Saccharomyces cerevisiae S288C: one gene and its partners. Changing the gene in region 1 together with any one later gene gives a genetic interaction. Each region holds a gene or a part of one and is shown in the gene's direction. Other genes may lie near its edges.

Region 1 (8,309 bases):
AATATATTAGCAATATAACACGCTGTTTCTCATCCTCTAAATCAATTTTCGCGGCCTTAATCCATAGTTCATATAAGTCTGTCGATAAAATCGGTTGGGGAAGCTCTCTGATAAATTTCTTCAAAAGAGCAGATAATTGGATTGCATTTTCTTTCGAGAAGTCTGGAGCTTCTGTTGGATTACTGTCGATGTTAGCAGTTAGTTCTCTCAGTCTTCTGATATTTCCATTTTTCCTGAAAATACCTTCTACTGACATATCCATTTGCCTCAAAGATGATATTAGCTCGTCAATAATTATGGGGATCCTAATCTTCACTGGCCCCACACCTAAATCGGAATCAACACCCCATTTCTCGCACAACACATCTAAAGGAGCACCAAAAACAGTCTTAGTGATGGGCTTTTTAGGCTCCATGCTCATCATGATTTTCATTCTGTTCCAAAAGCTACCTGTGACTTGCTTTTCATTCGAGAAGACCATTGAGACTAAGCTAGTATAGTTAGGATCAGTCTTCGATATCAGTTGTTTACCAGCTAGCAGTGACAAACTGATAGCCCTTATCATCGAGAGTTCCATCGTACTTAATTCAGAGTAATAAACTCCGCTTTTCTTGGGAACAACATTCGAAGTTTCGTCATCGGTTTCTTTTAGTTTTTTAAAGTGTGCAAAAGCGTTAGGTCTTAGCTCCCTTGCTTGTTCAGCGGCAACAATACGTGAAATATCATCTAGTGTCAACGTCTTAGTATTACTGAAAACATTTTCACGTGTGCTCACTTGTTGGCTCGATGATGGGTCATCTGTTTGAATCACAAGATTTTTACTATCTCCTTGTTTTGTCGGGTCATTTAAATCTGTCTCTGCAGTTTCCAGTATCACTGATTTTCTAGCTTGTTGTTTGTTATGAGTGACCCGAACACTTTCTCTTCTAGATCTCAATCTTTTAATATCATTCAGTGTCCTAATGTAAGTTTGTTCCTTTAGCATAGTACTCTGTAAAGAGTTTCTGCCTACCTTGTTAGATGCTTTCGATTTCAACATTACAGTTCTTGATTTGACTAGGGCAATTTTTAGAAGAAAAATTAGTTGTGCTAGCTTAGTAACAAATTTGAAACCCGGCACAGAGGCCGGATCATCAATTGAGCAGTGAGAACATAGTATCTTTTTTTTCTCTTTATTAAAGGTGGGATCCGTCAAACTCCTCGGATTTATATTCTTATGGCATGAAGAACAAGTAAAACAAGCAATATGCCACCGGTGCTCATAAAATTGAATGCATTCCTCCTGTATGTATTTATTGCATCCAGCGCAACTATCTGTGGCGTTAACAGGAGTCTTTATATACTGAAACGGGTTATTTTCAAAAAGCTCATTTTTCTCTACTTCTCTTAAAAACCTCAACAATGGATTAACAGAATGAGTCAACTTATTGTTTTCTAGAGCCGTATATAGCCCAAATCTTGTTAACAGTTTTAGAAAATGGGCTAATCCAGTAATAACAGACATAAAAGATGAAATTGTGATAGTTTCGTTTTTGTTTTCTGTCCCTAACTTTCTTAAGAGTTGTAAATATATCATAATTTTTGTGGACAGATTTTTGGGAAACTTGCTGTATTTACTGGCCGCCATTGCGTTGTTTTCAATGCATTCTTGATCACTGTTAACTGGCATACTTTTGTTCGTCGAGAGGTTTAAAGTATCCAGTCCCCGGAAAAGACAGTCGATTTTTAGTACCAACAGACCCGTAGACTCTATGCCCTTTAACTGATCATTGCTTGTCAAATATTGAAACATATCAGAAATGCAAGAAGCTGCCTCTTCCTCAAAACGATATAAAACCGACCACGTTTTAGATAGAATAAAGTTAAACGCCTGCATTTGTTTATCTAACTCGTAGGCAGTTGGGTTTATATCTTTGTCTCCGGAATTTGGGTTATATTCCAGCTTGGGAAGGTACTGCAAACCAACAGTTTCTGCTGCTAAATTTACATGCCAATATTTATGAATTCCATAACATTCCGGATGCCAACAATGTATTTCTTCACCTTTAGGAAACTCGATATATTGATCCGATATTGGGAACTCGCACCCTTTGCAACGTTTCGAAAAATACTTGAGAAAGTGGTACTTGCAATACAATTGGTTTCCGTACATGAAGCATTTTTTAACCCCACAAGGAGTAGCACATATTGTACAAGAAAAATGCTCTTCGTCGTATCTGTAACCGAATGCGGTATAATATAATCCACGCAATGGGGTATCACATACATGACATAACAAATTATGTCTTCTAAAATAATCGTATTGGCATAACAATATAGATTCACTTGTCTTGTCTACTTGATATGGGAAGTACTTCGGTTTTAAAGGTTTCTGACAGTCTTGGCAGGTAAAACAACTTTCATGATAATATTTACCGAGAGCCTTTAAAGTTGTTTTAGTTCGTTGGCTATCGGGTATAACTAACTTGTTACAACGGGCGCATATTTTCTTCTGATTCTTCACCTGCACGGTCATCGGAGATGCAGTATTCAGCGATCGATAACCAGCAGAATTTTGAATCATTGCTCACCTCCGGTACTTGTTGTTTGATAATTTGTCTGCTCTTTTTTTCTTTGGATTTGAATAAATACGGTTGCGTATATCTGGGATAAAGGCCAAATAACAATGTTAAGGCAAAGACGGATACTGTTTTGAATGAGAAGCCCAATTGCTGGTTTCTAGCAAGAACAGCCTTGGTTGGCTCGAGAGGAATGATTTACATATTTTAAATTCTCAAATGACGTTTCAGATTCTGTTCTTATTTGTTTTCCATTTTGTTTACATCTTCCGTGCCCATCAATACCCGGCATACTTTGAAGACGAAAAAGATACTTACATAAAGATAAGGATATACTCGCCAAGATCGATTTCTTGAAGTAAATACTTTGTGGGGAGGTGTTGTAGCGATGGGCTAACCTGCAAGCATTAAGTTATATTTACTAGTGAGGTACGTTGTAGAAAAGTGCGTTACAACGAGAAGTAATTCAAACGTAAGTAGCACATGCGGGCTTCTTGATATATTTGCTAGCTCAAAAAGCTAACTGAGTACAACATGGGGGCCACCCATGTTGATTATGTTCTGGTCGTAAAGTGATCTTTTACGGGTTATATTGTTTGCCCATAATTTCAGTTTTGAGGTGCCTATCGCTTCTTCTCGTTTTGTTTTGGGAACGTTTGAGTATTTACTTTATAGTGCACTTTTTTGCGTTTTCATCTCTTGACTGTTCGAAAACCAATGTTGGTGAAGGAAATAGCTAAGTATGACCTCGCCTTAAACCAATCTTAGTATCCTGTCTCTTTGCCACAGCTATTTCCTACTTCCATTAAGATCAATTTCTTTGCTATTGGAATCACAGGCGACTTAGAATGCATTTTCTATACTAGTAATTCGCAATTTTCTTGTTTTCCACAACGGTTTAATACTAAGCAGATGATATGACAATATGGCAAACATGATATACAGAAGAGAGCTTAATGGGACCAACTAAAGTTAGATGACACCATGGTCCAATTTTCTGAGCATGAACAACGGCAGAACAATAGCTGAACTGGACCGATTTGATTTTTGAACAGGAAATCTGTAATTTTTTATGCTTTGTTTTATGTAGCGATTTTATGATTATTGTTAATTATACATCTCACAAAAGCCAAGAAGAAATCTGAAAAAGTGAGCCCACACGTAGACTATTTGACGCTCATGAAAGTTGTCAAGCCTTGTGTTAGCGTTAACGTACTTCATTTAAAACATGGCCGCTTCGTGAGAAGTGGAAGCATAGTATCGATATTTTCTATAATCTAAATTATTTTAGTGCCCATAATGCAGTATACTGTATCGTATAGGAGTTCTGACTTGCTAATGTAACACAGTAGACTTCACCTTCACTTATGGATACCATTGGCTTATTAAGACATCAGAGTTCATTAAATGAATAGTAACAATCCTTGCGCAAAAAAAGGCGTCGATGACGCACTTTTGCGTTCAAGTTTTATATACTTGGAAAGCTATGACTGATGAGACGGACCTGTTTCGCATAGAAATTCGGTGCTTAACATGTAATTGCACCTTTGTTTTTGAGAAATCCATGAATTTCGCGGTAAAGGCTCGATTAATGATTATTCTATATATATGTACTATAAGCCGATTATCGCAGTTTTTCCAGCCTCCTTAGTAAATTACCCACTGTTTTAAGATGAGTCCTACTGACGGGTTACATTTTTATAGTCTTTCTTCTCAGGCGACCCAAAGTTCTGTCTGACTGTCTCGTATTATATGTAGAAACGATAAAAAATTATATGGTGGCTACTGCGACCACCAATCCAAAGTGTCATACCTTGAGAATTAGACAATTGTATACAACACTAGCATGAACAGTATGGTAAATTTGGCGAGAGAATGAGAAGGCCTTGTATTATGTATTCCCGCATTGGTTTCTGTACCTTTCCCTTGCAGAAAACCACATGCATAAAAGTCGCTTGCCACATAACTCGCATTTGTGAAGCCATGCGAACCACACGTAAACGTTTCAGGACTTTCAGCAGGCTGCCCAGTGAGAAATGTATCATAAAAAATTGAATAAGTTGGGTTCTTTTCTTTAGCAGTTTTCTTTCCTTCAGCTACCCCACAATTATAAATTTCTGTCGGCGTATAGGTTTGATTAATATAGCCCTTGCTACCGCACTTAAACAATAGAGCATTTTCAGTTACGTTCATTTTTTTGTGTCTCTATTATAGATTTTTCTTGGGTGTGATGCAAAAATCGCTGATAGGAATTATAATAAAGGAATATATATATATATATATATATATATATATATATATAGGTACTAATTGGCTTTTCTTATACGCCTCCTATTGATTCACTGCCGAAAGTGCCCTGTTATATACGACAATCATACGCCTGTTTGCAAATAGTCAACATATTCAACTCGGAAGGTAAAAGATGAAAAGGCAATTTTTTTGATTTTCTAAGAAAATGCGCAGCGGGCAGAAGGGTCTTCGCAGGCAACTGAGTAAAGAATATGAGAAAAGCCTCTAAATGTTGAACCCTGAAAAAGTTTCATCTATTTTTGATAAAGACTTTTCAATAGTGCAGGATCACGCAAGAAAAAAAAAGGTCCTTAAGAGCAATTGTGGGAAAATATAATACAATGCTTGCGTTAAAACTTCTAGTTACCTTTTACAACCGAAAGTAAACACTAGCATGGGCTTGGAGACGAGCAGCGCAAATTATATAGTTTGAGATAGAACGCTTTCTCCGGTATTGCCTGGGGAAAAGGAGTCACATGATTAGAATCGGCGAAATTTTTTTTCCAAAATTAACAGCAGGGTTGTCTGGATGTTTTATTGAAAATAGAAGCCAATGACAAACACAAGAGGCCAGTAGTATATTAATTTTAATGTGCATTCTAAAGCATCCTCACGTCTTTCAATCTGAAGTTACTGTTCGAGAAGGAGAAGAAAAGAAGGAAAAATGAAGGATATGAATAATAACATGAGTACTAGTTACGTCCAATCTGGTCACACCATATATTGATGCATCTTATGCGCCATAACTTCTTTTTTTGTAGCTATAATTTGTTGCCAGAAAAATGAAAACTTTTCAAAATCAACCAGTTTCCAATTTTTCTGCAACTCGTTATTTATGAAGATAGATGATGATTGACCCCCTTTCTCCAAAAATCGATGCAGCATTGGGTTATTTTTTGAGCTTTCTAATTATAGGGCCATTTTCTAGCAAGACTGTATAGCACATGCTCGCAAAGAACATGGCGTAATGTTCATAAGAAACAAATTTTGTAAGTTTCTTGTGCCTTTTGAGTTTGAAATCATTGACCAGAACAATGAGAACTCTAAACACGACAAATGGATCTTAAATCAATTTTCTTGAAAACATCTTCCAGTTTCGATATTCGCACATTTGCCGGTAAAATAGTGCAATCTGCCTATACCTTTAAAATGGGATCTTGAACGCGTACCTGAAGGTTTTTTTAAATAAGGCCGAACCTAAATGTTGCCTTCAAAATTAACCTGTATCAAATTTTGAAGCCGAAGTTGGTATCCTCACATTGTCTAACCTCATGGTCTCCTAAAGTCCGGCGATCACTTTCCGTTGCGTGACTATTGATGATCAGACTGTCAACAATGTCGTTCCGGGCCTCCATAGCTTGAAGAATTTTCGTTGACGGAACTAGAGGAATGGCAGATGGAGATGACCTTAGTTTCATGTCGCCTTGATAGTTATCAAAGAGTACAGAAACAAGACGTCTCTTGCTCAATAATAAGGATTGGATCAGGTGCTTACAAATTTTATTCGTCATACAAACAATTACTAATATTTTTTTAATATTAAGCGTACCCCTATTTGATTGGCTCTCTTCTAAATTCATACGTTTTAAAATCCGCTTTCAACCGTCAACATAAAATTAGTAAGCAGACCTCGTTCCAAGACCCAACTAAGTTGCACTAAATATCCTCGAACAAATTGGGGGCAGATTTTTGAACCATATAAAAGTCATGACAATATTTCCAGATCAAGGACAGTTGCAGTTCTTCCTTTCATCGGCCAGCTGACGAATTGACTGAGCGGCTTTGTATTTCACTAGAATACACTTCCTATAGCTACAAAATATTATTCAATAATATTAGTGAATTATTTAAACCTCTACCTGAACCACCTACCGAGTTGGGACGTCTCAGGGTTCTTTCTAAAACTGCCGGCATAAGAGTTTCACCGCTAATTCTGGGAGGAGCTTCAATCGGCGATGCATGGTCAGGCTTTATGGGCTCTATGAATAAGGAACAGGCTTTTGAACTTCTTGATGCTTTTTATGAAGCAGGAGGTAATTGCATTGATACTGCAAACAGTTACCAAAATGAAGAGTCAGAGATTTGGATAGGTGAATGGATGAAATCAAGAAAGTTGCGTGACCAAATTGTAATTGCCACCAAGTTTACCGGAGATTATAAGAAGTATGAAGTAGGTGGCGGTAAAAGTGCCAACTATTGTGGTAATCACAAGCATAGTTTACATGTGAGTGTGAGGGATTCTCTCCGCAAATTGCAAACTGATTGGATTGATATACTTTACGTTCACTGGTGGGATTATATGAGTTCAATCGAAGAAGTTATGGATAGTTTGCATATTTTAGTTCAGCAGGGCAAAGTCCTCTATTTGGGTGTGTCTGATACACCTGCTTGGGTTGTTTCTGCGGCAAACTACTACGCCACATCTCATGGGAAAACTCCTTTTAGTATCTATCAAGGTAAATGGAATGTGTTGAACAGGGACTTTGAGCGCGATATCATTCCAATGGCCAGACATTTTGGTATGGCTCTAGCCCCATGGGATGTTATGGGAGGTGGAAGATTTCAGAGTAAAAAAGCAATGGAGGAACGGAAGAAGAATGGAGAGGGTCTGCGTACTGTTTCGGGTACTTCTAAACAGACGGATAAAGAGGTTAAGATCAGTGAAGCATTGGCCAAGGTTGCTGAGGAACATGGCACTGAGTCTGTTACTGCTATTGCTATTGCCTATGTTCGCTCTAAGGCGAAAAATGTTTTCCCATTGGTTGGTGGAAGGAAAATTGAACACCTCAAACAGAACATTGAGGCTTTAAGTATCAAACTGACACCAGAACAGATAGAATACTTAGAAAGTATTATTCCTTTTGATGTTGGTTTTCCTACTAATTTTATCGGTGATGATCCGGCTGTTACCAAGAAGGCTTCACTTCTCACGGCAATGTCTGCGCAGATTTCCTTCGATTAATCAGATTTCTTTTTTGGTGCGTTTGTGTAAGAAATATGTCCTTATATATTCCACGCTATCTACTTTTATACTTTTGAATAAGCCGCACCTAAAAACAGTCTTTATCCCTCACCTAATTCAGGCGTAAATTGTGCAGGTTACAGCATTTGAAGTGGTAAATCGAGGCAACACAAGACTTTCGATACTTGGAGGCAAGTACGATAATTACAAGGGAAAAGAAGCTGTAATAAAAGGCTCATAAATAATATCTTAATAGTAAATATCTAAATATCAGGGAGGAAAAAAAACCTAATGGGAAATCATAAACAAGTCGTAGAGGAAGGCTACGCTCGAGGAGTGACGAAGTGCGTTTAAGCTGGAAGAGCCAATCTCTTGAAAGTACCTTCCTGTCTGCATTTTTCTTGATGAATAGCCATCAATCTTTGGGCTTCCAAAGGATCAGAAACCTCTTCTGGTTCTGGCCAGGACAGGTATTCATTAGTGTAGTTCGAGACATAGTC
Region 2 (9,431 bases), on another chromosome or scaffold:
TTAATGAAAAGAACGCTAATAGATTAAAAGCTCCCAGAAAAAATGACTCTCAGAAAATCGAACCTGTCACCGAGAACATAAATTTTGATGCAAATTTTGTCAATGATGGCCAGCTAATAGAAGAGGAAGAAAAATCAAACGGTGCCATAAGCCCCGATGTTTATAAATGGTACCTGAAATTTTTTGGAGGCTTCAAAGCTTTAACAGCCCTGTTCGCTCTTTATATCACAGCTCAAATTTTGTTCATCAGTCAGTCTTGGTGGATACGACATTGGGTCAACGATACCAATGTACGAATAAATGCTCCAGGTTTTGCGATGGACACGCTGCCATTAAAAGGGATGACCGACTCTTCGAAAAATAAACATAATGCATTTTATTACTTAACCGTATATTTTCTTATTGGTATCATTCAGGCAATGCTAGGTGGTTTTAAAACAATGATGACGTTTTTATCCGGTATGCGAGCCTCCAGAAAGATCTTTAATAATCTGCTAGATCTAGTTCTACATGCCCAAATACGATTTTTCGACGTGACGCCGGTTGGTAGAATCATGAATCGCTTTTCAAAGGACATCGAAGGTGTTGATCAAGAATTGATTCCATACTTAGAAGTAACTATATTTTGCCTAATTCAATGCGCATCAATTATATTTCTCATTACCGTAATAACTCCTCGCTTTTTGACAGTCGCCGTTATCGTTTTTGTTTTATATTTCTTTGTGGGGAAATGGTACTTAACGGCAAGTAGAGAATTGAAAAGGTTAGATTCAATAACCAAATCACCCATTTTTCAACATTTCTCAGAGACCTTGGTAGGCGTTTGCACAATTCGTGCATTTGGCGACGAGAGGAGATTCATTTTAGAAAATATGAACAAAATTGACCAAAATAACAGAGCATTCTTTTATTTATCAGTTACTGTCAAATGGTTTTCTTTTAGAGTCGACATGATTGGCGCATTCATTGTTTTAGCATCAGGTTCTTTTATTCTGCTCAATATTGCAAATATTGACTCGGGTCTTGCCGGCATTTCTTTGACATATGCCATTTTGTTTACAGATGGTGCTTTATGGTTAGTTAGACTGTACTCAACATTTGAAATGAACATGAACTCTGTTGAAAGACTAAAAGAATATTCTAGCATTGAACAAGAGAACTATCTTGGCCATGATGAAGGCCGCATTCTACTTCTAAACGAACCATCGTGGCCAAAAGATGGAGAAATTGAAATTGAAAACTTATCTTTACGTTACGCGCCAAATTTGCCTCCTGTCATAAGAAATGTTAGTTTCAAAGTGGATCCTCAAAGTAAGATTGGGATTGTCGGAAGAACTGGCGCAGGCAAATCTACCATAATAACGGCATTATTCAGATTACTAGAACCAATAACCGGATGTATCAAAATAGATGGGCAGGATATAAGTAAAATTGATCTCGTTACATTACGTCGTTCCATTACTATCATCCCTCAGGACCCTATTCTATTTGCAGGTACAATCAAAAGTAATGTTGATCCATATGATGAATATGATGAAAAAAAAATATTCAAAGCACTTTCACAAGTAAATCTAATTTCTTCACATGAATTTGAAGAAGTGCTTAACTCGGAGGAACGCTTTAACAGCACTCATAATAAATTTTTAAATCTTCACACAGAAATAGCTGAGGGCGGCTTAAATCTGTCCCAAGGTGAAAGGCAATTGCTTTTTATTGCACGATCATTGTTACGCGAGCCAAAGATAATACTTTTGGACGAGGCTACTTCCTCTATTGATTACGATTCTGACCATTTAATTCAGGGTATTATAAGAAGTGAGTTTAATAAAAGCACAATTCTTACTATTGCACATCGTTTGAGATCTGTTATCGATTACGACAGGATAATTGTGATGGATGCCGGTGAGGTAAAAGAATATGATCGCCCTAGTGAACTGTTGAAAGATGAACGCGGTATATTTTATAGTATGTGTCGTGACAGTGGGGGCCTAGAGCTTTTGAAGCAAATAGCCAAGCAATCAAGTAAGATGATGAAATAATCGAATGTTTCTTTCTTTTATTCAAAGATGAGGATGAATATTATTTATTAAAAATGCAATAGTAGTCTATAAAATATTTATGTAGAAAAGGAAAAACTAACACAGACATGGCTTTTTCACCCATTCTGTGACAATGAGCCCATCATGCAAATAAGTGATTTTGGGTAAAAGTTTATAATGGAAGAATTTAGGTAGTAAAACGAATTTAACTAACCAGAAAAAGAAGCATGCAACTATTACCAGTAATGACATGATTTGGTAGGGCGGCAGGAACCCAACTCTGTTTAGGCTAGGGTCGGCAAAGAATGGTGCCATCAACATGTATAATGATAATGTAATAATGGCTAATACTCCAAAAGTAGATGCACGAATCTCTGGGACTTCGTTCTTGTGTTTGAACCTCCAAATAAAGAGCCCAATAGCGACCAATAATAAGAAAAACTGATTACCATAACCATCCATCGATACCAGATAATTGAAGGATTCGCCCTCTTTGGGTAAAATCAATATCCAAGCAATGGTTATAAAGCCACATAAAGAAATAGATGGTAGAGGTGCATCAAATGGCCAATTTTTGGACATATGAATACTGAATGGTAAATAACCTTCTTTGAATATTTCCTGGTTAACTCTTGATATACTGTAAATGACAACCAGAATATTAGATGCTGCAGAAATGGCGATAGAAAAAGCAATGAATTTGCCACCAACTCTGGGTCCGAAAAGTTTGGTAAACAACACGGAACCAACCAGGGGGCCTGCACTAACAATTTCCTCATATGTCAAAACTTTCAAGTATGCCACATTCATCATTGTGTAGCAGACAAAACAAATTATCAACGATAAGGGACCTGACACCTTCAACGTCTTAACGGGATTCTTAATTTCTGATGTAACTGTGTGAACTGTATCCCATCCAGAAAAACAAAAGAATGAGCTGATAAAGGCAGTAGCAATAGAGGACACCGACAGGAGAGAATCTTTCTCAACTTGGGTTACTGGGAGGTCCCAGGCAACTTGACCGGTGCTTTTATAAAAGAAAAGCGTGTATAGCCCGGCAAAGCACATCAAGACAATCATGATCAACTTCAAACCACCAAGTGCGTTCTGTATAAACACTCCGTGCCTTACAGAGACACCGTGAATGAGAACGGCAAATATTATAAATGATATGCTGACGTACTTGGACCACGAATCATCCGTGACTCCAAATGCGCTCAACACGTATTTACCGAAGACGATAGATCCCGTCAATGCATAGCCAGTTAAAACACTGTAACACGAAAACACCACACTAATTAATAGTCTGGGTCTTTCAAAACTCCGTTCGAGGAAGTTTTTACGTCCACCTGATTTCGGTATCCAGGAACCAAATTCTAGAAAAAGATACAATCCTGCAAAAGCGATCGCAGCGCTAAAAACCCAGATCGCAAAATATATCAGCTTATTACCACCTGTATTCAGTAAAATCACACTGGGTACTGCAAATATACCTGACCCCATTATCCTCGAAACAAATAACACAACCGTGGAGAACACACCTAAATGTCTTCCCTGTGGAACTTCCATGAATCTTGCCGTCTCTGCCTTTATCGCCTGCGCTTCCACAGTATCCATCGAACTGAATGATCCAGTATTTGTGGAACCATATTTTGTGGTAATATCACCAACTTCCACATCTATGAAAACATCTTGAGAGGGATTTGCTTTCCCACTATTAAAAAGCAGCGGTTCCATTTTTACTTATTTTGAGCACTGTACGTCTACGTTGCCCTCAGCAACTTAGACTACAAACAGAATGTACAGATCATCGATAAGCATCCAGGTCTTTATATGTGTATTGTTTTTGCCCCTTGACTCAGGCAGGCCTCTAATCTATATGATTGATTTGTCATATATATGCAGCGACGCCACAGTTTTTTCCGGCAAGAGTCGCGTGATCTTTTTTTCTAATCCAATCTGTGAACATACTAGAGGAAACTTCTACCTTTTCTACCTGAATTACATTATCAACACTTTTGCACCAAAAAATCGTGGTACTAGGAGATGCAAACCTTTTGGTCTCCACATCAATTGCAGGAAAAAGATTGACTGTTTGCATGTGCAATTATCTTATATATTATGTAAAAATAAAAGTAGGAAACGCCACATGGATGCGCATGCCATAACCCTTGCATGGTTAGCACACGCCCTCACGTGAGTGAATTTGCCAAAATGATAGTCAAATGTGTTGATAGTTCGATAAGAGGTGAAGTTGGGGAACTAAAGGTGGAATAGAAAATGATAAAACAAAGGAAAGAGTGAAGATTGCCGCCGAGTAGAATCCAAGATTGGTGTGTATGGGTGTATTTAGTGAAAGTTCAATTGCATTGAAGATGACAAATTATGCTTAAGTGAATGGACAATGAAGGCTTCTCTTGAAGGAGTAAGGCTGCGCTGAAGGAAAGGTTTGAGACAGAGTGACCAAAATGGTGAATTGGCAAACATTGTTCATGGTCTCATTGAGGAGACAGGGCAGTTCCTCTCGTTACAGGTATAAGTTCAACATGGAGAATATCACACATCAGGTGTTCCCTCGCTGTAAGCAAGCGTTTAAGAAGACAAACTTATCTTATGAATATTGTGATCTTGAAGGAGTACTGTATAATATTTCACTCACGGACTTGCAAAAACTGCTATTACGTGATATAAACGCCCCTCGCGAACACGCATTCAAGATTGTTAGAACAGATCTAACTCAAAAATCCTCGAAGAAGAGGATCCAACACTGGGAACGGATTGCGCCTATGTTTGACCACCCCTTAAGTCTCTACGAGAAGTTGTTCAGCGAAATGGATGAGGACTTCAAGCCATCTTTCGAGTGGCAACAATTAATAAGGGTACGATGCAAAGATGATAAGTTGAAACTGCAGCGTGTAATTTGGCCTAAGTCGATATTTTCAAACTTTTGTCGGGGAATCGGGGTTAAGAAGAGCACTTACGATAGACTCTTGGAACAAAATAATGGTGAGGTACCCATGTTTGTAAACCCAGCTAATGCAAAGCCCTTGCCTCTTTTCCAGGTTTCCGATGAGGCGATGATTGGGGAATTCGATGGAATTGGTATTTTCCCTTACTTTGTAGATAAACATAGAGAATTTTTCGTTACTGAGGTAGACAAATTGAAGACCAAGATAGCTTCGCCACTTTGCACCTTGAATGAACGAAAGCGCATTGAGAAGGCTAACGCTGGTCGGATACTGGCGAACGAAGAGGGTAAACCATTCTATCTGGATGCAAACAGTGCCACAACTCGAATCGCTGGTGGTAATGTCGTCACTTTGAAGCAACTTTTAGAAAGATCGGTTAGCCATAAGACATTGTGGAGCAAACAATCAAACAAAGACAGAACGTGCCCTGGAGACATTTTAAGAGCTACAATATTATCAAACGACTTCTCCATCCGGCAATTGAGGGCTGAATTTTGCAAAAATTTCATTCTCTACAATATATTCACCATTTTACAACGTAACAAGAAAAGCATCCGTTCCTTCTCTGGTAACGATAATGCGCCTTCCTTTCAATTTAGTTGGAATGTTTGGGACTCATATATATGGAAGCAATATCAAGAGACCGAGTCCATGAAAATACCCACGGACCAAGCTTCTCTGATCAACTACAAGACAAAATACGACTCTTTTCTTCATGACCTACAAACATATTCCGCACTGGTAATTTCAGAAATGAAATGGAACCAATTCTCTATTTTCCAAAATGATGAAACGACTTTATCAAGATTTGAACACATCACATTAATTTTGCAAACCGTGCTGACAAAATCGAAAATGATTAGAATTTTCCAGCCAAACTTGTACAAGTTTATGCAAGATGATTTAAGACCAACTTTAATGGAGTTGGTGGGTTTCACTGAGTCAATAAATGCAACAATAGAACCTGGTTTTGCGAATGAACAATCGCTACAATCTGCAAACGGATTAAAGAAATTGGCCAACCAACTTTTATACTTCGAACAGGAAATATATGGCGAAAAGTTCCGCGTAAATAGGCCCATCCAGCTTCGTCCAATAACATTATCAGCAAACTACAAAATTGTTATTCTGGATAAGAAGAACGCCATACCCGAAATATTTCAAACCCTACTGAAATTCATGACACAAATAACGACATATTTTGTTAAAGATTTGTCGGAGGTAGAACTTCATGGGCACATGCATTGTATTGATAAAAAAATGCTGGACAAGTCGAAATTCATGTATTTATACGAAGAGAAAAGCAACGAGGAAGTGAAAGCAGCTTCTCCTCAAAAGGAGAAGATAGTAGATAATATCATTGGCCTATTATCAAATGATGAAGAACATTAACATGAATTGGAAAAAGAAAAAATTGCATGTAAATATATACATACGTAGAATTTTATACTTAGGCTACAGATCAAAGCTAAATCTGTAAGTCGTATGCCTTCTTCATTAGAAATATAGGCTCTTTATTTGATTTCCTGATCCAAACCAATCTATCAATCGCAGTATCTGCCACAATGAACTGTCTTATGCCCCAATCACCGACACTATAAATTTCTGGAATTCTCTCCGATAAATTAGGGAAGTATTTTTTATAGAACGGCAAAAACTCCATAACATCTTCTTTTTCAATGACAATTGAATCACTAACTTCTTTGAAGGTTTGTTTAATGAAACCTCCCTGATTATTACTTTTATCGTTGATTAATTTGACTATCCAGAGCAACAATGCGTCATTAAGACAGTCTTTTGTGATCAAATCTTCGTAATTTATAGCACCAAATACCAGTAAGAGAGAATTGGCAAATATTTTGTCGTTTTTAAAAATTGTCTTGAATGACAGAGAAAACTCCTTATTATTGCTATATATTTTTTTTTGTAAAACGGACAATTTCTCAGTAGTGGCGTTCAGAATTTTTTTGTTATCTTGATAGTATAGTTTGATTAGTTTAATAACATGAGGGCGTAATTTTTGAGTCGAAGAAGTTTTAATTTTAAAATTCTTATAAAACAGCAATCTCTGGGATACTACAGATGTTAATTGATCAATACCTTCCAATACGCTCCTTACGGTTGGAGTTTCTTCAGACTTTAATTTACTTAGGTAGGCAAATAACGCTAGTAGAACCGGTGGTAATGGTTCAGAAATTTTTAAACTAAATTGTAAAATGGTAGTTTCTCCATCGTCAGTAACAAAATTACCTGATTTGTTAAAATCCACGGGCAAACCGCTAACTAAGGTGGATGGTAGCTTTAAAGTCAACCTAGAGAAGTCAAACTTATTCGAGGAATCCCAAAACCCGTAGTTTAACAAACATTTTTCATTAGAAATATTACCATAATTATTAAACAATTCATCCTGTGCACTAAATGTGGTAGTCTGCGACATGAAACAAAGTTCATTTTGTTCATTCATCTCCCATCTTACTGGTACATCGTTTTTATGGTTTAATAAATCTACTATTGGATACAAAAATCCTTCGTTCAGATTGGTGCGGTCTGTACCGGCCCTGCCTAAAATGACACGAGGAAATGCCCTAGAATTAAAGATGCAGTACGACCAAAGATACGCCACGAACGAGTTCCATTCCGAATCTTCTAGTTTACATCCATTGATGTGTGCGCAGAACTGTTCCAACGGCACTACGGCAGAGTCTTTATTCTCCTGGAATAAAGACAAGAACTGCTTATCTTGAGAAGAGTGTTCAATAGATAAAGCTTGGAACAGCATCCTCCACTCCTTTACTAGTTTGTTCAGCGTATCTCTCATAGTTAAGTACACGTCTGTACCATGCAAATTCATGACTTCATCAGTAGACCAAAAATATGGTTGTGGAAGGTGCAAGGGTAGCACATCTAAATATGGTTTGTAAAAGGATTTCAGGTGAACTGCATCGGTGCCAAATTTCAACTTTGACAAGTACAACTGTGTCACGGAATTCAAAAGACTCCTTTCATTAGCAGCCTGGGAAAATTCTGATAAAGCTTGCTGGGAAGTGATCAGCAGAGTTTCGGGTACCCTAATCAAAGCTTGGTCGGGTTTGGGAGAGAATTTTTCGTTTACAAATGCACTAACACCAGCATCCTCTGTAATCCTAAAAGAGATTTTCGGATCGATGAAGGCTCCATTATTTTGAGCCCATTGTAAGCAGTTATCTAGCTCAGTTTGGGTGATCATGCAGAAGTTCGTTAATTAAATGACGAGGTAGCTTCACCAAGCTTGATTCCTTAGTCTTTTTTACTTCCATCATTTCTTCTTTGTTGGAATGGTCAAGTTCAAGTTGAAAAATTTTCTTTTTCATAGTCAACTCATCGCAGGCACATTCGCCTTGAACGAACAACGAGCAGGACTCCAATAGAATAATAGTAATAGATTACAGGCCTATACAATCAAGACAACTATCAAGGTGGGGAGGGTTTCCACCTGTAACTTCCGCTGACTAATGATACATATTATCTGATCGGAAGCCAATGAAAGATCCCCTAAATATCACGCATGTAAGCGACCGCGATGAAGCGTACTGGCAGCTCTATCACGAAGCGATGGAAAAATACACCTGCGAATGAAAATCCATCAACAGAAATGAGAAGACAATTGTATATTATCATTAACGTTCATCTTTAGGACTTGTTCTCTTACGAAATTTGTGTGCCTGTATTTGTTAGAAAGCCACATATGTCTTGGCCTTTTTCACTTCTTTCCTGTTTGGGATTGCAAATTTATCAAAATGCACCCATAAAAGCAGGTGTGATATAACAAGCACATATCGTTAGGAAAATAGTGTCAAAGAGAAAAAAAGGCCAAGCAAATCGGAGTACAGTTTACATGAAGTAATGCAAGATGCATAGAACTGAAGATTTCAGGAATAATTGTATATAGGGGAGGAAACATTCGATAGCTCTCTTTTTGCTTTCGTTCACTATATCTCTTGTTTTCTTTCTTAAAAATATATGGACAGTAGTTCAAGCCACTGCATAGCAACGTACTAATGGAGTCTGTTCACTCTCGCGATCCTGTTAAGGAGGAAAAGAAACATGTCTTCATGGGAATGGAACACGAGTTGAATCCTGAGACTCATAACGATTCCAACTCCGACTCATATGGTCTCCCTCAGTTATCTGAAAAATACAATGCCTTGAGACAGAACAGGAGCCTAATTATCCAGCAGACTGAAATCATTGGCTCTGCTTACAATAAATGGTACTTACAAGCGATTTTACTTTTGAGTGCTTTCATATGTGGCTACGGTTATGGACTGGACGGTAACATCCGTTATATTTACACTGGTTACGCCACATCATCCTATAGTGAGCATTCTCTGCTGTCTACAATCAACGTCATTAATGCTGTGGTCAGTGCCGCTTCGCAAATCAT
Region 3 (3,080 bases), on another chromosome or scaffold:
GTTACCAAACGTTAGCTCGTCTATCAAGCACGCCAAGGTTCAACGACACTACTTTTGTGTAAGATGTCGGACCAGGATAATACCCAGACTTCTTCAAGCAAGTTGGCACCTCACCATAATATTTTTATGGCAAACTTGGAAAGTTCCCCCACAAAAGATAGAAATACCTCCAGCCAAAATGCCTCATCTTCGAGAGTCATTGAATCACTGCATGACCAGATTGATATGCTGACAAAAACAAATCTACAATTGACTACGCAATCTCAAAATTTATTGAGTAAATTGGAATTAGCACAATCCAAAGAATCAAAACTACTGGAAAATTTAAATCTGCTGAAGAACGAGAACGAAAATCTCAACTCGATATTTGAAAGAAAGAACAAGAAGCTAAAAGAGCTAGAGAAAGATTATAGCGAATTGAGTAACCGTTACAATGAACAAAAGGAGAAAATGGATCAATTGAGTAAATTGGCGAAAAATTCTAGTGCCATTGAACAATCTTGCTCTGAAAAATTGCAAAATATGGAAGTTAACTATAATTCATTATTGGAGTCACAAAATCTTTACAGAGACCACTATTCTGATGAAATTTCCAAATTAAATGAAAAAATCGGTTTGTTGGAGTTAGAGTTAAGTAATCAAAATTTAAATTATGGTTCAGATACTAGTTCAAATTCAGATATAGAATTGAATTTAAATAAATTCAATGACTCTGTGAAAGATTTGAAATCTCTGGAAACAGAAAAGGATTCAAAATTAAGCAAGATAATCACTCACTCTTTAGATGAGTTAAATCTACAAAGCTGGCTAAATCTGTACCAGACGAACGAAAATCTGATATCAACTTTTGCTGAAAAGATGGATTTGAAAGACGTCTTGAAAAGAAACGATGAGAAGATTAGTAATAAAGGCGCGGTAGTACAAACCTTGAAGAAGAATGTACAAACCCAGGTGGAAAGCAACAACGCTGACGCTTTGAGTAGCAATAATGCACAGGATATGCTTCCTATTAAGATGGTCAAATTAAGAAAGACGCCGAACACAAACGATTCATCCTCCAATGGTAATAGCAGTAACAATAAAAGAAGAAGTTTCTATACTGCGTCGCCTTTGCTGTCATCGGGTTCTATTCCAAAATCTGCATCCCCGGTTTTGCCTGGTGTTAAAAGAACTGCCTCAGTAAGAAAACCAAGCTCGAGCAGTAGTAAAACAAATGTAACGCATAATAACGATCCAAGTACATCTCCCACAATCTCAGTGCCTCCCGGTGTTACAAGAACTGTTTCCTCCACTCATAAGAAAAAGGGAAATAGTATGGTTGTTCACGGGGCCCAATCCTAGAATATGCCGACACAAGGGAGTATATATATAGGATTCATTTAGATAATAGAACAAAAGTAAATAGATGCCTCTAAGGTTTTATAGACACGAATCCATATTTTTCACTTTCGGTCACTCACAACGGTTTTTTCTCTACTATAATGTGGCTGAAATTAAACGAACAGGCCAAAATGTGGTACGCAATAGTAGCCAGTAGGTGAATTAACCATAAATAATTACGCTAATTTTGCCTTGGTAAATTTCATAAGACCAATGATAGCAGGTGCGACTGCTCCGTCAAGTCAGCATGAAATTTTGATCGCATCGAATCTCATCAAGAAGCCATCAACGTCTCAAAATAAAACGCCGACAGCTCAATCCAGTTCAGGTAACAATGGAGCTGCTGATGGTGCACCGCAGGGTTACCATCATCACCATCATCACCATCGTCATTTATGGTGGCCTCGGACAACAGACCATCAATATTGGTGTGTCTTGAGGAAAAACCAATTTGCCTATTACAAAACTCGGGATGAAAGAGAGGCTATAAGTGTCATACCGAGATTTGACATACTTAATTTTAAGATAAGCGAGCTCGATGGTATATTAACTGTTTATACTCCATCCAAGGATTTAATATTCAAATTTCCACGAGGGCAAAATGAGAAGGTTGGTATGGAACTGATGCATAATTGGAAAATTGCCCTTGAAAAATTCCTCTCTAGTCCTAGTGGCAACGAAAGTGTCACTACAGGTAGTGATTATGATGAAGAAGAGGATGATGATGATTTAATTGTAGTTGACGAAAAGGCGGGTCCTTCTAGCAGCAAGCATTCTTGCAGTTTGACGATGGATGAGCAACTGTCTCGTGAAGATAAAGAATTTTATAGGATGTTCGATCCAAGAAATGCAGAGCACCAGGTTTGTTCTGGGATTCTTTACACAAAAGTGAAAAAGAAGAAACTGTTCAATAGGGCTAAATGGCAAAAGTTCAATGTGGAATTGACTAATACTTCGTTCAATTTATACTCTTTCAAGACTGGGAAGTTAAAGAAAAGCATTAAATTGGATAAAATTATCGATTGTATTGAACTTGATAATAATTCGAAGATGAAAAATGACGACACTAATTTTGCGCTAATTACATTTGATGAAAGGTTATCTTTTAAAGCCGCTAACGATCAAGATATGGTGGATTGGATAATAAATTTCAAGAGTGGAATTTTGATAAGAAAAAAATTAAAGGCCGAAAATATATAAGCAATGCCAATGATGAATATGTATTGACTTTTTTTTTCTTTGTACTATTAAATAATACGTGTAATTGTTTTCCTTACGTCTAGTTAAAAAACTATTTATTTATTTGTATTTTAATGATAATAAGCACTTTTTTCCTCGCTGAAAATTAAGGGAAAGGACCAAATACAAAAGTGATTAGAAGGATAACGAGTAGAGAAAAAGGGAAGTAAAAGTTAAAAACTAGAATCCTAGTATGACATGCATTGCCCAATTTGCCACCATAGAGCGCATGTAGTGTACTGTGCACATTGTATCAATACGAGCCCAAGTCTGCTACTGAAGCTAAAACTAGATTTAATTTTATTAAAGGATGAGAATAAAGAACTTAACGGGAAAGTCGAACAAATATTAAACGAGGCCATGAACTATGACCAGTTAGATATCAAGAGGATGGAGAAAAAGAAAGATCCCCTGATGAATAGTCTCATGAAGTTAGATGTTTTACGAATGAAAAAGAATAA
Region 4 (8,972 bases), on another chromosome or scaffold:
AATAATATATGAATACCGATGATATAACTTCAATGAATTTTTATTTGGAGGGAAAGTATCCTATTATGAGCGTCACGATGGGACTTTAAATATATATCCCTACTTCGAGTGTACCCTTACGTAATACTTGCAGCCCCTTGCTGTTGACAGCGCGATACAATTTTCGTACTAAACAATCACAGAGGTAACAGCAAAGTTTGGAAAGTACTTTTGTTGGAAAGTTATTACGGCCACTAACATTGTCTCGTCGTATTATTAAAAGCTATAACGTCGTATTTCTTTGCTCGCTTGTGTTTTGTGATACAGGAAACACACACCAACAGGTTCACCGAGGGCTGTTGTCTGTCTTTGTACTTTAACTCAAAGAACTTCTGTTTCACGATTTGTATTAATAGTTCTTGCAGGCTACTAGGCTGAATACGTTAAAATGGTTAGCAACGAATATAACCAGAAATACTTCGGGTACAATTCTGATACGTATATTTGTAGATATGTCTCGCTTGATGTTGCCAACTTTGTCAAAAATGGTAACGTATGGGCACACGGAATGTGCTAATCCTCGACTTTGCTCTTTCGTAAACCAATTTGATGCAAGTGCAGCGTGGTCTTTTGAAAGTGCATTATCTCATTGGGCGATGCGAAAACTCTGCCTACAGAAGTTCGCCGTTAGATAATTCTGATTGTAGAAAACCTACCAAAGAGAATAAACTAAAGTGTCATCTGCTAATTTATGATCTTATCGTCTGAGTGATGATGTATGTTTCTCTTTGTACGGTTCGTCTTGTGCTCATGTACGTAACATCCTCCATATGTGTGAATTATTTTGTCCGGCGTCTTGTTTGAATATCCCATCCGGACGTATTTCTTTATAGGATAACGCATGCACATATCGGTTCGTTCAATAAGAAAGTCCCTTCTGGTATTATTCGGTGTCCTGTAAGATCTATATACTAATCACCAAGCTATCTGGTGTCACATTGTGAATACATTTGTCTTTTGGTCCATTTTTCCCCATCATTTTCTCGTGAAAACGATCTCTAACTTTTGCCACTATAGTTTTAAAGGAAAGATTTTGAGCTGCCAACGAATACAATATAGCACACTCAAGAGTCTTGGCAAGCAACTTTAAAGTTAGAAAGAGTACTAATGTTGCTACTTTCTTGGTCAAGAATTGCTACTAAGGTAGTTAGAAGGCCCGTTCGCTTCCGGTCCTATTACGGCTTGACCCATATCAAGAGTTTACATACTCAATATCGGCTACTCAATAGGCTGCAAGAGAATAAGAGCGGTAACAAGAACGAGGACAATAACGAAGACGCTAAACTTAACAAAGAAATTCCCACAGACGAAGAGGTTGAAGCAATAAGAAAACAAGTAGAAAAATATATCGAACAAACTAAAAATAATACTATACCGGCTAACTGGAAAGAACAGAAACGCAAAATTGATGAAAGTATTAGGCGTTTAGAAGATGCTGTATTGAAACAAGAATCTAACAGAATTCAAGAAGAAAGAAAGGAAAAAGAGGAGGAAAATGGTCCTTCAAAAGCCAAGTCAAACAGAACAAAAGAGCAGGGCTACTTTGAAGGTAACAATAGCAGAAATATTCCACCGCCACCACCACCTCCTCCCCCAAAACCACCTCTAAATGATCCTAGTAATCCTGTATCGAAAAATGTTAACTTATTCCAGATAGGACTAACTTTTTTCCTCCTTTCGTTTTTATTGGATCTCCTCAACAGTTTGGAAGAGCAAAGTGAGATAACGTGGCAGGATTTTAGAGAGAAACTATTGGCAAAAGGTTATGTTGCGAAGTTGATTGTTGTCAACAAGTCCATGGTGAAAGTGATGTTAAATGACAACGGAAAAAACCAAGCCGACAATTACGGTCGCAACTTCTATTATTTCACAATTGGTTCAATTGATAGCTTCGAACACAAACTTCAGAAAGCACAGGACGAACTGGACATTGATAAGGATTTCAGAATACCTGTACTATATGTTCAAGAAGGCAATTGGGCTAAAGCTATGTTCCAAATTTTGCCAACTGTTTTAATGATTGCAGGTATTATTTGGTTGACAAGAAGATCGGCACAAGCAGCGGGCGGTAGCCGTGGAGGCATATTTGGTCTGAGTCGTTCTAAGGCTAAAAAATTTAACACTGAAACAGACGTTAAGATCAAGTTCAAGGACGTTGCCGGATGCGATGAGGCTAAGGAAGAAATTATGGAGTTTGTTAGCTTCTTGAAAGAACCTTCTCGTTATGAAAAAATGGGAGCTAAAATTCCTAGAGGTGCGATTCTATCTGGTCCACCAGGTACCGGTAAAACTTTGCTTGCAAAGGCAACAGCAGGTGAAGCCGGTGTTCCGTTTTATTTTGTTTCTGGTTCAGAATTTGTAGAAATGTTTGTTGGTGTTGGTGCAGCAAGAGTAAGAGATTTGTTCAAAACTGCAAGAGAAAATGCACCCTCAATTGTGTTTATTGACGAAATTGATGCTATAGGAAAAGCAAGACAAAAGGGTAATTTTTCAGGTGCCAATGATGAGAGAGAGAACACGCTAAATCAAATGTTAGTAGAAATGGATGGTTTCACTCCAGCTGACCACGTTGTTGTTTTAGCTGGTACCAATAGACCCGATATTCTCGATAAAGCATTATTAAGGCCTGGTAGATTTGACAGGCATATCAATATCGACAAGCCCGAACTTGAGGGTAGAAAAGCCATTTTTGCTGTTCATTTACATCATTTGAAACTTGCCGGGGAAATTTTTGATTTGAAAAATAGATTAGCGGCTTTGACGCCAGGCTTTTCTGGTGCTGATATTGCCAACGTTTGTAACGAGGCCGCCTTGATTGCTGCTAGAAGTGATGAAGATGCAGTAAAATTGAATCATTTTGAACAAGCTATCGAAAGAGTCATCGGTGGAGTGGAACGCAAATCCAAGCTACTCTCTCCCGAAGAGAAGAAAGTAGTGGCTTACCACGAGGCTGGTCATGCTGTATGTGGATGGTACTTAAAATACGCAGATCCTCTTCTGAAAGTCAGTATTATTCCACGTGGCCAGGGCGCCCTTGGTTATGCACAGTATTTGCCAGGTGATATCTTCTTACTAACTGAACAGCAACTTAAGGACAGAATGACCATGTCTCTGGGTGGAAGAGTTTCTGAAGAATTACATTTCCCATCAGTTACAAGTGGCGCATCTGATGACTTCAAAAAAGTTACTAGCATGGCCACGGCAATGGTCACAGAATTAGGCATGAGTGATAAAATTGGCTGGGTCAATTACCAGAAGAGAGATGATAGCGATTTGACAAAACCATTTTCGGACGAGACAGGTGACATTATTGATTCCGAAGTATACAGAATCGTCCAAGAATGCCATGACAGATGTACAAAGCTGCTTAAAGAAAAAGCAGAAGATGTAGAGAAGATTGCTCAAGTACTACTGAAAAAAGAAGTTTTGACAAGAGAAGATATGATTGATTTACTTGGTAAGCGCCCTTTCCCAGAAAGGAATGATGCTTTTGATAAGTACTTGAACGATTACGAAACGGAAAAAATCAGGAAGGAAGAAGAAAAAAACGAAAAACGTAATGAGCCTAAGCCATCTACAAACTGATTGATATTTCACAATACAAAGAAATGGAGGAAGACTGTTCTACATATCTTGCTTATTTTATTGAAAGCCAGACATCTTTCTTTTTCGGTAGAACACTGTCACGTATTTACCATATAATCTAATCTGAAAACATGTAAATATATATACGTGTATAAATGCACCTATATCTATATATGATCAAAGCGCTTCTGTGAGGCTGTCATTGGTTAATACACGCGATCTTTTTTTTATCGCTGATTCCACGGCTTAGCCTATCTTATCTTCAGTATTCGCATGATACACTTTTTCACTGCGTCGTTTTGTTGGATGATATCTGTCCGACAATAAACGTAGGTCATCTTAAGGGCCGGTGATAGAGAAGAGCATGCGGTTCCACTTTAGGCCAACCCACATTCCCAAAATATAAGAATACAGCAGCGATTTTTTTCTATCGAATTATTTTGTTTTTTGTCTCCTCTTTGTTCTTCACTAAGCTCAGAGCCCTAGTTGTTGAGGGAACAAGAAGAATGCAAACACTAGACGAGACTTCAAATCTACTCCCTCCACCTGAGGAAGCTGAAGCCCCTCCCTTGGAACAAAAATTTCATGAATATAATTTGGCCTTACCTAAGTTTCCCATTTTGTTTTCGCTATGGTTGGGTAGTTTTTTGAGTTCCTTGGATAGCACTATTGTCGCAAATATAATGAATAGAGTTGCTGAGGAATTCTCTGAATCAAGTAAAAAGCAATGGATTGCGACGAGTTTTCTTTTGACAAATACGGCTTTCCAACCACTATATGGGAAGCTTTCTGATATAACAGGGCGGAAGTCAGCATTATTAACCGCTCAATTTTTTTTTGGCCTTGGGTGCTTATTAACATGTTTTGCCAGAAACGTCACGGAATTCTCAATAGCAAGAGCCATATGTGGTATTGGTGCAGGAGGATTGAATGCTATTAGTAGCATTGCTGTTAGTGACATATGTACAGCAAGAGAAAGGGGCGTTTACCAGGGATATGCGAATATTGTTTTCGGGTTTGGTCAATTACTAGGTGCTCCGTTGGGTGGTGTATTTATAGAAACCATTGGATGGAGGGCTCTTTTTGGTATCCAAGTACCCGTGATAATGTTGTGCTCGGTATTAGCAATCAAAAACATTAATATTAAGCTATTCCATGTTCCTCCTATGAAAGAAAGATATACCTTAAAGAATCTGTCACGGATAGATATATTTGGCTCATTAAGCCTGGTGGCGACCATTAGTGGAGTTTTATTTTTGTGCTCTAGCCAGTTGAACAAGTTGTATTTAGCATTGTTTACCATTGGTAGCTTTATTGTTTTTATCCTGGTTGAACGTTATTACGCGACTGAGAAAATTTTACCATTCGAACTATTGACTCGCTCATTCTGTTTGAGCTCAGCGGTAACGGTTATATCTTCATTTGTTGTATTTGGTGAAATCTTTAGGTCACCAATCTATTTACAATTGCTTCAAAATATTAGTGTAACAAAGACTGGCCTCTTTTTGATTTTCCCCTCTATATCAGTTGCAGTCGGATCATTGGTAACAGGATGGGTATTGCGGAATACGAAAATTAACCTAGCACACTGTGCATATCAAATCATTTTTGGTGGTATGATAATGCAGCTATTGGGTTTGGGATTGGGCTATTTCCTACTTTCACACTTGAATCCTGACTACACCATATATGATATGCTTGAGTCTATTACATTCAGATCTAACTCAATATGGTGGAAATTGATATATGTGTTTGCATCAGTCCTTGTGTCCTTTGGTTACGCTTGTCTATTAGTGGCCACGTTAGTAAGCATCGTATTCACCGTCGAAAAATCACAGCAAGGAACCATGACTGGTGTTTTCTATTTGTGGAGATCCATTGGTAACGTTCTTGGTGCCTCTTTAACTTTAGTGTCCTATGAGAATAGCCTGTCGTCCATGTTATGGAATTATATGTTCAAAACCAAGCGTGATGACGAATATCACTTCACCAAAAAGCAGTACTACTCCCTTATCAATGATTCGAGTTACTTGAGAGGGCCCAATTTTCCAACGGATATATTTGTTCGCATTCTTGATGTCTACAAAAAGGCATTCCTGATTTCCTATATTCCAAATATAGCCCTGGCAGCAGTGGGAATTGTTTTATCGTTATATCTGGTGAAACATACTTACAAACGTAGTTCAAGTTCTTGAAAAATTGAAAATAGACTTTATATTATATACCTTTATAAATCCAAGGTCAAAATCCTTCTAGGAATGAGCAATTCTATTGCATCTTTTTCTACATTAAAGGATTTCAGCATTTCGATATCTATTCCTAGTTTTTGGCACTCTATTTTGCAACTTTCCGGGAAAAAAGGTTCAAACGGATATTGCAAATAATACATGATCAGCACATTTTTCAATTCTTTGCTTATGTGATCTCCCGCCATATATAGTCTTAACGCAAAGGCCATACTCTTGCAACTGATAATGGGTGGTACACCTGCATACCCAGTACATAATCCAGGAATAATAAGACCATCAATGTCTTTTGGAGAATGCATCAAGGCATTCCACATGGCGTTGAAAACCGGTTCAAACCCTGTCTTGAGGGGATTCTGCGGATTAAATATAGGAGCTGATGGGGCTACAACGGTCGGAACATGAATAATATACCTAATACCATCTCTACATTCAATTGTTTTCTCTTCAAGACATCGCTGTAGGTCAACCACTGTAGCAGATCCGACCGTGTGATATCTTCCTCCAAGCTGATTCCTGAACCATGTTTCAAAGGGCTTTCCCCCGAAATAATTATACAAAGCTTTATCGAACCCTCCTCCAAGATAGCCATACGAGTTACCAGGTGAAACAATTGCGTAAGAGTGGCCATGATGGATTGCATCACCTTTACGCATTGAATCCATAAGAGATTGAAGGTGCCCATGATGAATACAAAGATACTTATCATTTTGAATATATGCATGGGGTATAGATTCCTGCCAGAGATTGGTAACTACTTCGTTTGTATCGCATAATATTATTCTCATTTTTTTTACCCCGTTCAAAAGTGAGTGTCTGTTTAAAGATCCTGTCATGATTATGAATGTCTGCAGTTTTCCCAATTTTCCCAGTTCAAAATTACGAAGATGGCTTGGTGGTTTAAGATGTATTATGGACCATTATACATAGGGGATTCAATTCGTAAAGTTTAACCGTTAATAAGAAACACCCACACCTGAAGTTTTTACGAAAATCAAATGCTTCTCTTCTGTTATTGTTTGCTGCTAGGAACACGTATAGGAACACGAATAGGAACACGAATATTTATTGTTCATCCGATTATATCGCCATTGATTGCAGTGGAAACGGCAAAAAAAAAAAAGCATATAAAATGGAGATTTCTTGATTATTCATTATTAAAAAATCCTTTATATGTTACAGTGCATGGAAGCCATCGTTCAGAAGTTGAACGAGCACGAAAAAGAATAAAATACATAACTTGTACAAGGAGAGAATTTCTGCCGAGAGTCCCTATTTCTTTCTACCAAAGATTTTTTTCAGTTTTTTGCCGAAACTACCCTTCTTTTCTTTTGTAACGCTGACTTCCTGTGCTTGTGGGAGCCTGCTTTCGCCGTTCTCTGGATTACTAGAGAAGCGTAACCTATTGGTCATCGAAGGGTTTGAATTTTTTGCAGGTTCAGCTTCACTGGCAGCTCTTAAAGATAACCCGCTGAATTTCTTGTCCACCTTTTTACTTGTAATGGCAGGATCGGTGGTAGTATGATTAGGACTTGAGACTCCAGGGGAAACCACATTATTTTCCTTTTGCTTACTTTTGCTCTTGAAAAGCGAAAAAGCACCGTTACCACCATTACTATTTTTGTTACCGCTGGTTTTATTGCCTTCTGTTTCTGTGTTGTATTTTGATGGGCCTTGGTTGAAAAATTGGGACTCATCTTCTGAGTCTGAATCCGCAAATCTTGATGAATGACCCAAATATTTGAAAAACTCCTGTGCTGTATCGGTTCGATTCACATTTGTGCTATTCTGGCTAGCTTGCCCATTATAGCTTTCACTCAATGCCTCCTCAAAATTACCATTTCTCAAAGAAAGCTTTTTAAATCCGAGATGGGATTCATTGCTTCTCGTCTTCTCAAAACTAGATTTGCGAGGAGGTGGTTCTTTGGGGTACAAAATACTATTCATGTCCTTCGTTGAAGGTTTATTGTTTTGCGCGATCTGTGATCCTCTCTTTATATTCTTATTGATTTGGTTTTTAGGTTTATTTGGGCCATTTGACTCATATACACTTGCGGGCTCTTGAATTTGCTGCGAATTTTTAGACAGAGAAGCCATAACCGAATTTCTTTTTGGTTTACCCTTCTCTGGGGTTCCTAGGGGTATAGCAGAATGGCGTTTATTGTTTATTTTCTCTGGGGGAGAAGGCGAATTTGATCTGATGCTTCTGAACTGGCCTACTGACTGAGGTCTTTTTATAGAAGATCGTTTTAAACTTGCTCTGCGTGATACGCTGTCGGACATCGTCATTTGAGCATTTAATCTCGTATTTTCAGCAGTCGTAAGAGACAGGTATGCGCCATTGGCGGGAGAGTTATCAGAGTACATGGATGAGTCATGGTTGGACGATCCTGACGATTTTTTAAGAGCAGATTTGATTGGTGTAACTACTTTCGTTACAGGAACCATAGGAGCTTCAGGCTTGTGAAACTTTTCTTGCTCAGCTTGTTTCGATTGGTTTTTTCGAGAAAGGTAGGTATTTGAGGTCCTTAAATACTGAGCCAAAGAAGGCGTTGGTTCTGTTTGATTAGAATGATCGGTGTTCTTGGAGGAATTCGACTTGCTCGTTTTCTGATCGCTTTCTTCTACTGTATCGAAGAATTCATCCTTAGTATCGCCAACATTCCCTTTTTTGGAAGAAGTATTAGCACCAGAAATTTTCTCACAACAATTGTCTGGCTTTTCAACTTTTTTTGAACTCTCGGTCCCTTCCAAGGTATCCTTCTCTTCTATTGAGCGGGATTTTTCATCAAGGTCTTGTGTGGGAGACGATGTTGTGTCATTCTCTAGATTTTTATTGCCATTTTCTGGTTTGGAGTTTTCAACTGATCCTTGGGCCGAATAACTGCCGCTAGAAGAAATGTTGTTCAGTTGTTCAACCGACTTGTCATCCACTTCGGCCTCCGGAAGAGGATGTTCTGCTACTGGTTTATTCCCCTCCCTCTTCTCTTCGTTGTCGTAATTAAAAGTTTTCTCAAGAGTAGATGCTTGACGGTTATTTTTTGGCCATTGTACATCGCCTTTTACAGTTTTTTCGCTTATGAAAACATCTTCTTGATCAGA

What was found.
Region 2: mutations in AAD4 (region 1) and CBP2 together harm fitness more than expected from each alone (negative genetic interaction), as found in Saccharomyces cerevisiae (one large-scale study listed by BioGRID).
Region 3: mutations in AAD4 (region 1) and OPY1 together harm fitness more than expected from each alone (negative genetic interaction), as found in Saccharomyces cerevisiae (one large-scale study listed by BioGRID).
Region 4: mutations in AAD4 (region 1) and VBA1 together harm fitness more than expected from each alone (negative genetic interaction), as found in Saccharomyces cerevisiae (one large-scale study listed by BioGRID).

The regions. Positions count from the first base shown.
Region 1 is NC_001136.10:17,077-25,385, reverse strand, and holds AAD4 (putative aryl-alcohol dehydrogenase), read left to right. Parts: upstream 1-6,819; coding exon 6,820-7,809; downstream 7,810-8,309. Other genes in the region: GTPase-activating protein LRG1, read right to left, coding at 1-2,563; YDL241W (uncharacterized protein), read right to left, coding at 4,380-4,751; YDL242W (uncharacterized protein), read right to left, coding at 6,074-6,427; THI13 (4-amino-5-hydroxymethyl-2-methylpyrimidine phosphate synthase), read right to left, coding at 8,160-8,309.
Region 2 is NC_001140.6:20,586-30,016, reverse strand, and holds CBP2 (Cbp2p), read left to right. Parts: upstream 1-4,507; coding exon 4,508-6,400; downstream 6,401-9,431. Other genes in the region: putative ATP-binding cassette multidrug transporter VMR1, read left to right, coding at 1-2,039; MUP3 (Mup3p), read right to left, coding at 2,136-3,776; YHL037C (uncharacterized protein), read left to right, coding at 3,838-4,239; EFM1 (protein-lysine N-methyltransferase), read right to left, coding at 6,477-8,234; ARN1 (siderophore transporter), read left to right, coding at 9,046-9,431. UniProt on the Saccharomyces cerevisiae protein: Appears to be specifically required for the splicing of the terminal intron (bI5) of the cytochrome b pre-mRNA. Can also stimulates the splicing of the omega intron of the precursor of large ribosomal RNA.
Region 3 is NC_001134.8:493,853-496,932, reverse strand, and holds OPY1 (Opy1p), read left to right. Parts: upstream 1-1,593; coding exon 1,594-2,580; downstream 2,581-3,080. Other genes in the region: SHE3 (She3p), read left to right, coding at 64-1,341; ATG14 (Atg14p), read left to right, coding at 2,818-3,080. UniProt on the Saccharomyces cerevisiae protein: Binds phosphatidylinositol 4,5-bisphosphate (PtdIns(4,5)P2/PIP2) at the cell membrane. Negatively regulates the activity of phosphatidylinositol 4-phosphate 5-kinase MSS4.
Region 4 is NC_001145.3:440,261-449,232, reverse strand, and holds VBA1 (Vba1p), read left to right. Parts: upstream 1-4,130; coding exon 4,131-5,819; downstream 5,820-8,972. Other genes in the region: m-AAA protease subunit YTA12, read left to right, coding at 1,147-3,624; PDL32 (putative ADP-ribose 1''-phosphate phosphatase), read right to left, coding at 5,852-6,706; SEG1 (Seg1p), read right to left, coding at 7,143-8,972. UniProt on the Saccharomyces cerevisiae protein: Transporter required for vacuolar uptake of at least histidine and lysine.